2 linked regions of the Notamacropus eugenii genome follow. The protein of the gene in region 2 interacts with the protein of the main gene of each other region in a biochemical or structural test. Links are inferred from orthologs where the notes say so. Each region holds a gene or a part of one and is shown on either strand. Other genes may lie near its edges.

Region 1 (7,697 bases), on a different chromosome or scaffold from region 2:
GATGACTTTAGAACCCAGGTTCCAGGACACCACCACCAGTGTCATCTTCCCACCACTCCACCAGGGAGGCAGTACATGGTATGGATGAGGAGGATGGTATTATGCCCCTTCCCCAGCATCACAAAGTCAATAAAGCAGTAGAATCAGGCTCCTGCTTTGTTGCTGCTAGCCAAGGGCTCTTTTCAGGATGCCAGGGGAGTCAGTGGGTCCAGACACCTCCAGGAAAGGATTCCCTATTCAGAGGCTTCTTGAATTCTTTTGAATTGGGGTATTAATACAGGGTCATTTGATGCTCTAAGCAGAATAGAGGAGGGAGGACCCTGGATTCAAATCATCCCATCTTATTGTCTGGCTCTATCATTGTCAGTCATTGACTGCTAGGCTCTGGGATCCCATCCTCCATCATTCCTCTCTCCATGGAGATGGGTAGGGCCCTACTGGGATTCCCTTGGTCTCCATGAGGCACTAGAGCCAAAGTAACCCATCCCTTGGCACCAGCTCCTTGCTCCCCCCCAACCATGGGCCAGGCCTGAAGCTATCCTGGCCTGTCCAGACCTGCCAGAAGCTCCTCAACTCCCCAGTGAGGCTCTGGGGGCTTGGGGAGGGGAAACTTTGACTGTCCCTGTCAGGGTTATGTAAATAGCTAACCAAAATCGATTCCTCTTTGGGACTCTTTGGGGTCCCTGCTGCCCACTCATTCAGACTTGCCCAATAGCTTTTCTGGTAGTTTGGGGGCCCACAAAGAGAAACACCCCCACCCCAAAGCCATAAATGGAAGAGCCTGGGGGTGGAAGAGAAAGGCATGTCCTTGGGGTGAGCTCCCAGTCAGCCTGGAGGTCAGGCCTGTGACTAGTGAGAAGAAAGCCTGGGGTGGAGGAAGGGGACAGAACCTTCTCCTGTCCCATTTCTCCAGCTGCCAGGCCCAGCAGCCCATGCCAGAGGGTAGAAGCTACTGTCCACTGTCAGGAGCCAGCAAGGCCACCTCAGCTGTCCAGTCCATATAGCTCAGTTTTTTTAAAATAGGTGAGGAAGCTGAAAGGGACATTAAAGAACAGGGAATCTCATTTTACAGATGAGGAAACTGAGGCCAGAAAGGGGAAGGGACAAGACTGTACAGGGAGAACCATGGCAATTCTGAAATGGAAAGCATCTCAATGCTCATCTAATCTCACTCCTGTCTGAACAAGAACCTTCTAGTGGGTAACTGATCATCCATCTCTGCCTGAAGACCTTCAGGAAGGCAAAGAATGGAGGCTGGGACCAGGCCTGGTTCTGGAGCTGGCCAAATTATCTGAGGGAGTGCCCATGTCTGGGCACTGCCCTGGCTTCCAAAGCTCCCCGAACTGGACTGGATGTCTCTTGGACAGCCAGAGTCTCTCCTAAATCCTTCCTTTTTTCACAAGCTTTCTCCCAACACCAAGTGCTGAAGGCACTACTGCTGAAGGCACTATTCTACAGATAAGGAAAATGAGACTCTGGACAAGGAAATCCCACCCATGCCCAATGGCCACAGAATCAGGGGAGGAAGCCAGAGCTCCAAGTCCAGAGCAGCCCCCTCCCTACTCCCTGAGACCTGGACTCCACCAATGAGGAAAGAGATTCTGCCAGGATGCCCATGGGGAGGAGAAAGCAAACATGTGCTCTGTCCCACAGACTCTTGAGCACTGCCCCTCTTCTCCCCACTCCCCACCCCCTCACCAGGAATGGTTCTGGTCTCTGGCTTTAATTGTTTCAATAACAACGCTAGGAAGGGCTTGTGTAGATTAGAGCTGGGGACACTGCAGGCAGGACCCCTGGAAAAGGCTGCCTCCTCCCTGATATGGTTTTACAGCCCAGAAAAGGGAGGGTGAGCTAGGGGAGAAGGGGCCCCAACAAAGTCTCTTCTGACCAAGGGATAGACACCCTCAGCGAATGCTGAGAACCCAGCGTTCTCCACTCCCAAGTCTTTTTTCACTCTGCCACAGTAACCTAGGAATTAGCATGTGTTGGCAAGGAGGTGGGAGAAAAGAATTTGGAAGATGGGGTGGGGGTGGGCTGAAAACACCTAGTCCACCTCCCTTTTTGACAGATGGGGAAACCGAGGCCGGGAACAGGGAAGCAATATGCCCGAGGTCACACAGGTGAGAAGAACATCTGCCCTCTCAAAGAAAGCTCCGAGAAGAGTGGGGAGAGTGAGTTGGTGGGGGGGAGAGGGGATGGCGAGCAATGCGGGAGGGTGTGGGCAGGGAGGCAGAGACGAGGCGGAAGCCCTTGGGCACCTGGGGTGCCGGGGCTGGCGATGCCGTTGGGTTGTGTCAGTGGCCAGGACGGGAGGCCAGAACACGACAGGACAGACGGGTATCACAAGTTCCCTTCCTCCGGAGTGGCAGAGAGAAAGGAGGCGCGGGGCGGGGGGGAACCCACAGAAGGCCCTTCTGTGAGAGAGAGAAGGGGGACGTTAAGGGGCTGAGGTCTCCGGCACCACCTCGCGCCCGAGCCCCTCTCCCCACGACTGCGCTCTGGGGGCGGTCCCCAGCCCCCCAGCTGGCCCCTCTCCTTACCTCCGGCGGCCAGCAGCGTGACGAGGGCCAGCAGCCCCAGAGGGCGCGGCGGCCAGGCCGGCTCCATGGGGCGCGGGACTCTGGGAAGGGGGTGAGCCCCCTGAGCGCACAAAGGGGCCAGCGACTTCTCCTTCTTCTCCGGCCGGCGGCCCGGCTCCCGCTCCTCCCTTCTGGACTTGGGGGGCACTTGTGTGAGGGAGTGTGAGGACGCGGGGTGCCCAGCGGTCCCCGGGCCGCCCGCTTGCTTCTGTCCTCGGGAGCGACTCGCCCTGCTCCTTTTAATTATCCCGCCTGGAAGCGCTCTGGCCCAAGCCCAGGCTAGGCTAGGGGGAGCGGGAGATGGGGCGGGGGACTGGGGCGGGGGGCGGGCGGGCGTGGGGCGGGCCGATCGCTGGAGTGATGGCAGCAGGCCGCTCCGGGCTGGATTTCTGGCTGCCTGGCTCTTTCCGTCTCCCGGGTTCGGGGTTCTTTAAAAACAAAAACGACTCTTTCCCCCTCCCTCTGCTCTGTCTGTCCAGCTCTCTGCTCCTGTCTTGTCTCTCTCTGCGTGTCTCAGTCTGTCTCCCCTTTTCTCTCCTCTCATGTTCCTCTGCCCTCGCTTCTTTCCAAAAGTGGAGAGGGGAAGGGGCCCTCGGTTGGAGTTTCTCCAAAGCCACCCCACTCTACTGGACTCCTGCCAGGCCTAAGACTGAAGGTCACTCAGTGCCCCTTCAGAATACCGGAACCAGAGAACAGGCTCTGAGACATGTCCCTCCAGGACCCACAGTCCCCTTTGCCCCATCCATCACAACAAGTGATGGGGAGTCCATGCTTCCCGGAGGCCCCTGTCCTGAACACTCCCATCCCCCACCTCAGAAGGAGCACTTTGCCCCCTCCAGGGAAAGCCACTTATCATGGGCATTGTTCTGTGTTCTACTTATCTGTATTTTCGTCTTATCAGTCTCCAGACTATGGGCACCAGGAGAGCAGCCACCTCCTTTTCTGCAACTCTCTCTCTCCCTGTCCCTGTCCCTCTCCCTCTCCCTCTTTCTCTTCCTCCCTCTCTCTGTCTTTCTCTCTCTCTCTCTTCCCCCGCCCCTCAACTGTTACAAATATTTACTGGATATCAGGATTTACTGAGCCACAGAATATCAGAGTTGGCTGAAAACCCCAGTGATGGGCTGCTCCAAGCTGTCTGTCTCCCCCTCCCTCCCCTCCCTCCCCTCCCTCCCTCTTCTCCCTGCCCCTCTCTCTCCCCTCCCTGAAGGTGGGATTATTGACTCTCAACCCTCAGCCTCTGACCTCTGAACCCAGAGGTTTCTCTTTCTTTTACGTTTGCTTAACAATCAGTAGACACCCTAACAATTGCAGCACCAGAAGGGGAGGGAAAAAGCAAATAGGCAAAGAGGAAACCTAATTAGTACTTTGGGGGAGGGGGAGATGGAATAATTTTCTTATCCTAATTCTTATTCTAATCCAAGGAAGTCAACTAAAATGTCTTCACAACACTTCATTGCAGGGCTCTCCAGGTAACTGCCTCCCAGATATCCAGAATTAGATGTCCAGTAGACATCTGAAACTCCATACATTTAACAGTAAACTAATTATCTTTCCTCCTAAACCTCCTCTGCTCCTACCTTCCATATGACTATAGAGGGCACCACCTTCTGCCCAGTCCCTTAGGCTCCCCATCTAGGAGTCAGCCTGGACTCCTTGATCTTTCTCATCCACCCCCCAACCCATATCTAATATGTTGCTGAGGCTTTTCAGCATCTCTCTGGTACGTCCCCTTCTCTCCTCTGACACAGTACAGACTCTGGTCACAAACAAAACATTCCCTCTCTCGGCTCTGGGCCTTTTCTTGGGATGCTCTTCATTCTGCACTCTGCTTACTGATCTCCCTGGCTTCCATTCAGTCCTACAGCCCCCTTGGACAGGAAGCTTTCCTCCAAACACTTTGACTTCCCATGCTATCCCTCTGTTACTTTCTATACCATCTAGAGCTTGCTTTGTGTAGTTTTGTATGCATCTTGCTGCCCCTGTGAGACTGTAAGATCCTTGAGGACAGGGACTGTCTTCTACCTCTTTTTGTATTCCCAGTATTTAGCATAAGGCCTGGCACAGTCAGGTTTTTTGTTGTTGTTCACTCATTTTTTCAGTCATGGTGGACTCTTGGTAACCCCATTTGGGGTTTTCTCAGCAGATACTGCAGTGGTTTGCCCTTTCCTTCTCCAACTCATTTTACAGATGAGGAAATGGAGGCAAACAGGGTGAAATGACTTGCCCAGGGTCACACAACTAGTAAGTGTCTGGGGCCAGATTTGAACTCAGGAAGACTCATGTTCCTGACTCCAGGCCCATCACTCTACCCACTGAGCCTGCTAGCGATCCATCACTCGATAGGTCTGGATCTGGGCCCAGCACCTGATTAGCTGTTTTTACAAATATCAACAACAATATTGTAAAGTAAGTATTATTGTCCCCATTTTATAGCTAAGGAAACTTAGACAGAAATTAAGTGGCCTGCCCAGGGTCCTAGAGCTAGTGTCTAAAGCTACATGTGAGCTCAGGTCTTCCTGACTCCAGGCTCCCACACTGTGAACACTGTGTGATTGAGCAGCCTCCAGAGCAAATCACTTTCATTTCCTGAGCCTCAGTTTCCACCTGTATAAAAGGAGAATGTGGACCAGATAGCCTCTAATGTTAGGGACCAGCCTTAAATATAGGATTCTATGCACTCAGTCCATTAATAGGCCTTTATTAAGCACCTACTATGTGTCAAGTGATATTGGGTTACCCACCTCTAGAGTTTGCCACCTGGTAGAGATTACATCCTTGCCATGTTCTAGGCTCCACTTATGCTGACTGGGTCTTCCTATGGGCAGAGCCAGGCCCAACTCAGGTCCAAAGGGAGGGGCTGGTCCCATCAGAAAGAGAACCCATGTTCTAACCCTATGAAGAGTTCCCAAGAACTGGGCAGAAAACCAATTAAAACCAGGTGTGGCCCCAGTGAGTTCTCTGCTGGGAGGCAGACCCCAAAGTCCCAGAGTTTAAAAGTTGGATAAACTGAATGGTGGAGACATTGGTCATTGGGATGCAATGAGGAGAGAGATGGAGGGTGAGGGGAAGAGAAGGGGCAGAAAGTCTCACCCAAAGTAAAGGAGAGGGGAAATGTTCGGTGAGGGGTTCTGGACCAGTCAAGGGTTGAGCTACAGCCAGAAAGATGGACCAAGAGGAACGGAGAGGGTCACCCTGGGCTGTCACTGCCTCTCATCCTAGCTTCCTAGCCAAGCTCAGGAGAATGTGTTCTCTGTTTCAAGGCCTCTGGGAAGGAGGGCTCAGGGACTTTGCTGAGTTGGTCAGCTTGCTCATGCACCTCCAGCAGAGCTAGAAAATTCTCCACAGCAGTCTGATCTAAGTCCCTGCCTGAGACCAGCCCCTAACCTTCCCACTGACCTGGGTAATGGGGAACAGCTGGCCCTCATATTTGCCTAGCAATTGTTCACAGGCCTGTCACAGAGCACATCTCACACACACACACACACACACACACACACACACACACACATACACACACAATATCTGAAGTTGGCTTTGGGCCCTCTCTGCTTCCCTTCCTTGGGGATCCATCCAGTGGATATTTGAGACTCCCTATCAGGAGCAGGAGAACCCACTTGGGGAAGGTGTTCCCACTCATCTCCCACCTCCTGAGTCTCCTTCCAGGAGGGATTTTCCTAGAGCTGAGCTCTCCACAAATCCTTCTCACAAAAGGCTAGGGGTCAGTGTTCAAGCTCTTCCCCCTTGGCCTGCAGAAACCCATTCCCTCCCCAGATTCTCCCCAGTCTAACTCCTGCCTACATAACTCAACTGAAAGAATGCTTTGGGAAATCACCAATGCCTGCTGTGCCAAATGGCATGGCCTGTGCCTGAGTCGCCTCCTTCTCCACCTGTTTGCAGTGTGGAATGCTTTGGATGCTTCTGGCTGTCTCTGCCTCAATGGAACTTCTTCCCCACCCTCCTTTCCTAAGGATCCTTGGTCCAGATCTCCAACCCTTCTGCATCTTGTATCTTCTGGCTTAGAGAATATCCCTCAGAGCTCACCTGTCTAATGCCCCTCACGTCATTTGGGGGATCAGGCTCAGACCCTGAGATTTCAGGAGATCCCTGTTGGTGGAACTGCACTGATGCAAGTCAGCCCTCCTCTTCCCCTTCTTGTGTCAGAGGCCTCCTGGATGCTGGGGGCTGGCAACTGGCTCAGGGTCACCTGGTCAGGACATCACCGGATGGCCCATGGGATCAGCAACTAAAGCACTTGGTCCTTGCTGACCAACTTCTCTTCTTTCTTCCATTCCCTAAATCTTCTCACCGTGTGTCACCTCTGGTGGATCTAACAAGCCCTTGCTATGGACAGTTTCCACAGCTGTATCTCTAGCCCCAGCCTTCTCCCAAACAACACTCCAATTCTGCAATCACTGTGCCCCAAACATTCCCTTCTGCCTGTCTTTCCTATGAGGCTCATGTCACCTCCAGTCTCCCAGATGCTCACGCATCTCACTTGCCTCTCACATCTAATCACTTATAAAGTTCTGCAAACACATCCTTCATAACAGGTCTTGATGTCTTCCTGACTCCTCCTTCAACACCTCCCCTCTGCCCAGTCAGGTATCATTAAAGGAATGGTTCCTGAACATTTGGAAAATGAAGCACCTCTCACAAGGCTGAAGAAAGTTCCATCAGGCAGGGCAGGGCAGGGCAGACAACTCATCCGCCTCATTTTCCTCATATCATAAATTGACTGGATTTCCAGATCAGAGGAATGCTGGAGATGTTACTTAGTCAGATTTCAAGGAAATATTCCACAATTTCTCTCATGAGCCAGAGATCAAATCAGCCACATGGATCTGAAACTGCTTTGAATGACTAGACCCAAAGATGAATGTAGCGTCCACTTGGAAGGAGGTTTCTAGTGGAGTGCGCCAGAGATCTGTCGGCCCTCCTCCATGAGTCAGTCAGTTAATAAAGGAATGTTTATTGACTGGCTGACTGACTCTGTTTTGAAATATTTTTATCAAAGATTTGGACAAAGGCATAGATAGGATCTCCATCAAATGGACAAGTGACAGACAGGAGGCTGGGAGGGACAGCTGCTGCACAGTATCCCTCTCAGGCTCTTAGAAG
Region 2 (7,416 bases):
TGCTCATAAAATATTTAGTTCTTACATATACAATCCAATATCCAAAAAGGAGTCTGGAATTCTCTCACATATATACAAAAAATAAAAACCTACCCAGTTATCTGGGTAACTGAATGATTGGAATTTATTTTGGAAACAATCAAATTCCAGAGCTTGTTTCCAAGTCTTTAGGAGATCCCCAGATATTTAGGTTAATGCCATGGCAAAAAGGCAAATTGGAGCCACACAAAGAATAAGCCACACAAATAAAAAGAGGCCTGGGTTCAAATTCTGCCTCTGACATTGTGACTTTAGGCAAGATGCTTAACCTCTAATTGCCTTAATTTGCTCTTCAGTAAAACGGGGATGATATTATCTGTAAGTACTTGCAGACCAGGGTTGCTATGAGAGTCAAATGAGATCATGTAGCCAGAGTGCTTTGCAAACTTTAAAGCTTTATATGTCATCTGTAGAATGATCTGAACCTCAGCTTTCTCATCTATAAATGAAAGAGTTAGACAAGATGACCAGTATACTGGATCTGGAATCAGAGGACCTGGATTTGGTAACCCTGGGCAAGTCACGTAACCTATCTGGGCTTTAGAATTTCCATCTATAAAATGAGAGAATTACACTGGGTGACCTCTAAAGTCCCTTACAGATTTAAAACTACTTTTGTGATAGAAAGAAGAAAAAAAGTATTTATTAAACTCTTATTATGTGCCAGGTGTTTTACAAATATTATCTCATTTAATTCTCACAACAACCTATTGAGGTAGGTGCTATTATTATCTTTATTTTGAAGTTCAGGAAATTGAAGCAAACAGTGATTAAATAACTCACCCGATCACACAGCTAGTAAGCATCTGAGGTCACATTTGAACTCAGGTTTTCTGACTCCAGACCCAACTTGCTATCTGCTAGACCTTGTAACCGACCTCTAAGGTCCCTTTCTAGGTCTAATGCCAAGACATTTGGTGTGTGGCTTTTGGTTATCTCTTGGCAATGATTCACCTCCCTGAATAGGCTTATTTTAGAGACCCGACAGCAGTACAATAGATAGAAAGAACTCTTAGAGGGTTCTCTAATAAAGCCCTGCTTAGAGTCCCTTCTCTGTGAGTTCTTGACTTAAGCATTCTTATGTAAAGGAGAAAAGCTACACGTGGGCGTTGTCAAAGGCAAAGTTCAACCAGTCCTCTCACAAAACATTTCCATTTAACAGGCAGGATACAATGGTACGTGTGTTTCCCCACTTCTGGAACACATACGATAAATGTAAAATCCACATGAAGGGGAGAGGAAAAGGATGAGATTGGGCTGAGATCAGTAACACTTCACAGAGGGGAAAAACCCAACTTCTATATGGAATTTATTAGAAGCCTGGACAGATTTTCTGTCATCAGACATGAAGTTCATTAGAGCTCTAAAAGTTGCCTGATTTCACTCTTCTTTTAAAGTCTACAATGGTCATGTCATTATTTCTCTGATGGTATGATCTTCTTTGGCAACGAGGGACGAACACACACACACACAATGCAACAGGAAATTAGATCACAAGGGTTCTCTTAGTCCATTATACTGCTGTCTGGGCTCTAAAATAAGCCTACTTAGGGAGGTGAATCATTGCCAAGAGATACCTTGAAAGCCACATACAAAAAGCCTCCGAAATCAGTCCTTGGAAATACACAGAAATTTCTTCTGCAAGTTAATTACCCAAGGGCAAAGAATGAGGTTTAATCCCTTCGTGTCAGCACTCCTGACCTCCTATGCTTTGGGCACCATGTGGCATTTGAGCAAGACTGTGGGTTCTCAGCTCTCGGCCATGCAGGGCTGAACTCTGATGGAGGTGATTTAATCCTGGGCTTGTACAGAGTACAAGCTGTACAGAGAAGGTCGTGTGCTCCCTCCTCCAAACTAACAGGACAATGGAAAAATTACAAGCAAAGTTCCCAGGCGCTAAATCCCCCTTTCTTTTGGAGGAGATGCAAATTCCGGTCTGGAATTCAAGGGTAGCAGCATAAAATAGGGATGCCAAAGTAGAGAAAAGTGTGGCTCCCCAAGTCCCTTTCTTCCCTAGAGGGCGGAAACCAGCTGAGAGGCAACTCCCAAAGACACATACTCTGGGAGAAGTGAAGAGGAAGGCAAAGCCGGGGTTGAATGGGAGCAGCGCACAGGAGGCAGTGGAGGCGCCGAAAATACAAACCCGAGGGGTGTAAACGAGACCCTAGGGCTTCCCCTCACACTAGGCCCAGAGATTGCCCCAGAAGCACTTCCCCTGGCGCCTGGGTCTGTAAGTTCCCCACGTCGGATCTTACCTCTACTCCAAGCACCCTTTCCCTTGCCCAGAACATCCCCCACCACCCCCCTCTCTCGCTCCCCATCTTCCCTTATACTCCGACTCCAACACACCTACACACCCTCACACACACACACACACACACACACACACACACACACACTCACACACTCACACACGAGGACTGTACTCACATAGACGGAGGAGACATCGTATTTGTCATAGAAGTGGATCGGCAGTCGGAGCTCTAGCGCTGGGGAGATGGAGTCGTCCCCAGATTCCAGCTCCTGGTCCCCTTGCTCGGGTCCGAAAGGGAAGAGCTCCTGCCTACTCAGGCAGTCCCCGGGCACGGCGGGCAGAAGTAGGGCCAAGGGCAGCAGTAGCACAACCCGCGTCCATGCAGTCATCTCCCCTCTCTTCCTCTTAAGATCCCTGGGAGACATCATGTCCCAGTAAGGTACCCCCAAATCCAAACTTTTCAGTGACCTAGAAGCTGAGCGGGGTCCCCAGCAGGAGACAGGAAGGGTGACGCCCGCGGCTGAGCTGTAATCAGAAGACCCTCAACAGCCCCTACAAGCCTCCAGTTTAGAAAATTCCAAACGGGGAAATCGGGGAGGAGAGCCAAAGGGGGCATGGAGAGAGGAGGGGAAAGGGACATCTACCCAATCAACCTCAGAGAAGCAGAACCAATAGGAGTGAGGAAGGAGGGGTCACTCCTCCGACCCCTTCCCAGGTCCAACAGCTGTTCTGAAGTAGGGACCCTTCCCTGTGTACATTTCCTATTTTTTTCTCCCCGTATTTTTCCCGGGGTTCTTCACTGAACTCCATCACTATTCATCTCAATATTAGGACTTAGTCATTTTTGAAGGTAAATGAATGGTCCCTTCGGGGAGGAAGGGGGTTAAACTCTGGACTTTGTTGAAAGTTTTACATTTTATAAAATCTTCAATTGGCTTGGCTATTGAGTTTGTTTTTAAAGTAGAAGAAATCTCTTTGGTTTGCCAAATAGGGCCTCTTTACAAGGCTGCTGGAGTCTTTAGCTGCTAGAGCTGTAGACTCATAAAATTGCTAACTCGGAGGTGCTATCTCCAGCTATCTGTCAAGAAAGGAACTGTGCCGGGACGACGTTCGTTTTATCAACTAAGTATCAACTGTGTGTAGGTATAGAATCTAGAGCTGGAAGGATGTTTCGAGATGCTCCAGTCTAGCTCCCTGATTTTACAGAGGAGGCCCCATGTGTTTACATGACTTTCCCAACTTTGCAGAAATGGAAAGCAGCAGAAAGTCCTCTGGTCCAACATCCAGTATTCTTTATACCACAGCACAGCTATCTCTATTTACCTCCTGTTGTCAACCCGGTGTTCACTGTTGGCATGAATACAAGGACCTATAGCTTATAGTCTCTGCCCTCTTCCTATTTCCCTGTATACTACCTCGCACCTAAGTTGGTGCTCCCATGGGATCAATTAACACTTCTATGGAGAAGATGCCCAGATTTTCATATTCCGCCCTAGTCTATTTCCTAAGCTAGTTTCCCACTTCCAAATGCCTCAGGCACAACTCAAACTGAATATTGCATGGGTATCTCAAACTTAGCATGTCCAAAATTAAACTCATTATCTCATTCCTTCCCTGCCCAACACCATCACACTCTACCAAACTCTACGATTTTCTTGTACTATTGAGAGCACAGCCATCCTCCTAGATACCCAGGCTCACAACCACCATGTTATTCTTAAGTCCTCACTTTAACCTCACATATCCCATCTGTAGCCAAACCTTGTCCTTTCTGTCTTAATAACATTTCTCTGCTCTCATACAAGCCTAGTTCATCACCTCCTGCTTGTACTACTGCTTTAACTTTCTAGCTGGTCTCCCTCCTTGCTTCAAATCTCTCATTATTTCAATGTGTCCTCCTCTCAACTGGCTAGGTGGTTTTTCTGAAGTGTAAGTCTGCTTATATCACCCTTGTGCTAAATGAGCTACAGTGGCTTCCTATTACCTTTAGCATAACAATGTATTTTATTGTTTGGCATTTAAAGCTCTTCATAATCCAGCCCCTTTTCTACCTTTTCAGTCAGTTTAGACTTTACTCCCCACTACATTCTCTTCGATCCAGATAAACTGGCCTATTTCCAGTTCCACAAAGACAACTTTCCGTTTCCCCTCTGCTTGGAATCCTTTATCCCCTTATCCCTTGGCTTTTTGGCTTTCTTCCTTGGCTTTCTTCAAGTGTCAGTTCAAAGCCCACCTCTACTGAAGGTCTTCCCTAGTTCTCCCAGCTACTAGGGCTATCTCCTTTCACATTATCATTCATCTACTCTGTACATATCTTGTATGTGCCTAGTTGTTTACATGTTGTCTCCCACATTAGAATGAATTCTCTCTGAGGTCAGGGAATGCTGTTTTTTGGTTTTCTTTTCTTTTCTTTTCTTTTTTTAAAATAATTTCTAGTACTTAACACAGCATCTGGTGTATTGTAACTCCTCAATATATGCTTGTTGCCTGCCTGCCTGACTTCCGAATTTTTACAATCTATTTGGAGAGAAAAAAACTACTAGTCATTTAAATTTAATTCAGTTCAACATGCATTTATTTATTAAATTAATGCTACGTGTAAGGCACTGTTCTGGATGTTAGGAATATAAAGGTGAAAAATAATAATTCTTCTCCTCAAGTACTTTATAATACAGTGGGTATATGGAGGAAAAGATGTCATAAACACAAATAACTTTTGATACAAGTTAGAAATTGATTAAATATGAAGGAAAGGGCGAGCAGAACAGTCTGAGAAATTCAAGAAGGGAAGGATTTCTGACTAGCAGGAAAGATCAAGACAGGCTAATTGGTAGCTCAGTTATTGAGGGAGAGGAAAGATGTGAACAATTAGAGATTGGGAGCAGGGAAGAGTCTGATAGAGGGATGGTTGATAACATGCCAACAGAAAAAGTCAGAAGTAAGGGAAGAGTTAGTAGTCTGTTTAGACTGGAGCATGGAGGATGTGAAGGAAAACAGAAGGAACAAAGACTGGAAAGTCCATTAGAACCTTAAATTCCATGCTAATGAATTTGTATTTTATCTATTAGTTAATGAGAAAATATTGAAGGTTTTTGAGCTTAAGTGGTCTGATAAACCTGTGACTAAGTAATCATTAGAAAGATAACTTTGGGAAACTATAAAGAATGAATTGTCAACAATAGAGTTTGGAGATAGTAAAATTACCTAATTGCTAATCTGGAAGCAATGTGCTGGATAGGTTGGAGAGAGGAGATAATGGAAGAAAGGAGACCGGTTAAAAGGCTTTTGCAATAATTCAGTCACGAAAACATGGAACAGGATGATAGCAGTGCCAATGGACAGAAAGAGAGGGATAACTCCAAGAAAAATAGCAAAGGAAAAATCAAGAGGATCTGTGATAAATTTAGCAAGAATAAGTAAAGAACATAAATATAACTCCTTGGAGACTGGAAAATTAGATGGTTGGGAAAGAGATCTAGTTAGGATGGGAATATGAGGTTGAGTTTTAGAATGTAAATTTGAAGTGATAATTGGAAGTTCAAGTGGAATTTTCCTGTAGGCAGATCGAAATAAAGAACTAGACCTTGAGTTATGGTAAATTCTCCAAGCTAATCTCAAGTCCCAGACAATATTAAGAGAATATTATTATTTTTTTAATTTATGGGATAAAACAAGCATTATCATGACATGACATAAAAAGATTATACATGAAACTGCAAATATACTATATACAATTTGCTATTCCATTCAAATATATAATAAAGTTGTCATATAAATTTCTTTTCCCCCCCTTCACTCCCTTCTGCACCTCTAGAGATGGCTACTATTAGACACAAATACGTATGTGTGTGCATATGTATATGTATGATGCTAGGGTTGGAAGTTCAATTCCATGTGGACAGTCTTGGGCAGGTAAAGGTGGGAACTTCTAAATCTTAGAGTTCTCACGAGACCCCCCAGGAAACGGCTGGGAATCGAGGTGAACCGAGCTATCTCGTGTATTTCCTCCTCTTCCCGTGAGAAATGTGATGGGAGAGAGCTCTCCCCGCCCTCGAGATTGTCCTGGATCTGGGCACACTATTGTTATCTAACAGCACAGTATTCAGATGCAAACTATGCTGCTGGAGGGTTTAAGTAGGATCAGGAAAGCCTGAAAGCTCTCTTGGGCGGAGGGGCGCGGAGCGGACAGGACAACAAGGCTCCGCTTTTCCTCTCTCCTCTCTCCCCTCCCCCTCTCTCCCCGCTTATACTTCTACTTCCAATCTCTTATTGTAAGATCTTTGCCTCCTTGGGAGATCATTCTCTTTCCCTCCTAAGGAAGAATTCCCCTGCACTTGTAACTAGACCCTGAAATAAAGCTCAACCCTTGTTCGACTCTGGAACGTCCTTTCTCTCATACGAGCATCCAGTTTGGCCAACCGAAGACCTCGGGAGGTGAGGTAAGAAGACTCGGGTAGCCCACAGGCCTCTAGGCCTGGCAGTATATAATCATTCTATACATACTTCTATTTAGCACTTTGTAGCAGCAAGCACCCTGACACATCCAGTGTAACCTGCTGGCATGGGTTCTTACATCTGCTTTTCTAAAAGGAAAGCAACTTTTGAGAGGTCATAGTCTTCTTTAATCATATATGCCAACAGAGAAAATACAAGCAGAGAAATAAAGATCAACAGACAGGGCTTCTAACTGTCTGAACATAAGCAGTATATACATCACAGATCAACAGACAAATCCAACTGTCTGACCATTACATACATACATAGTTACCAGAGAGAGAGGCACCAACATCTGGGTTTTCAAAGCACAGGGGAGATGGGGGTGGGATGGGGGAGGGGGCTTCTTAATGACTAGTCAGAGTCTCATCTGCACACAAACCTTCTTCCAAAGAGTAAGCCCCCAAGCAAAACCTCACCTCATAGTATATATACACTTTTCAGAGCCAGAAGGTATCATGACCCAGTGCCACATTAACAATTAACCAAAGATGTGAGCCTTCCTACAAAACAGATTTCCCCTAATCAAGCTTCCCTTGATGGGCTCCACCTGAGACCTGTTGATGGGTGGGGAAGATCTTTAACTCCCATTATTACACACTTCTTTCTCTGGATTCAGATAGTGTCTT

What was found.
Region 1: the proteins of NID1 (region 2) and FBLN1 form a complex in vitro, tested with the Homo sapiens proteins (3 studies listed by BioGRID). The link is inferred for Notamacropus eugenii from reciprocal best matches to the Homo sapiens genes NID1 and FBLN1.

The regions. Positions count from the first base shown.
Region 1 is NC_092874.1:310,068,187-310,075,883, forward strand, and holds the start of FBLN1 (fibulin-1), read right to left. Parts: upstream 3,004-7,697; 5' UTR 2,608-3,003; coding exon 2,541-2,607; intron 1-2,540. UniProt on the Homo sapiens protein: Incorporated into fibronectin-containing matrix fibers. May play a role in cell adhesion and migration along protein fibers within the extracellular matrix (ECM).
Region 2 is NC_092873.1:395,773,866-395,781,281, forward strand, and holds the start of NID1 (nidogen-1), read right to left. Parts: upstream 3,016-7,416; 5' UTR 2,722-3,015; coding exon 2,470-2,721; intron 1-2,469. UniProt on the Homo sapiens protein: Sulfated glycoprotein widely distributed in basement membranes and tightly associated with laminin. Also binds to collagen IV and perlecan. It probably has a role in cell-extracellular matrix interactions.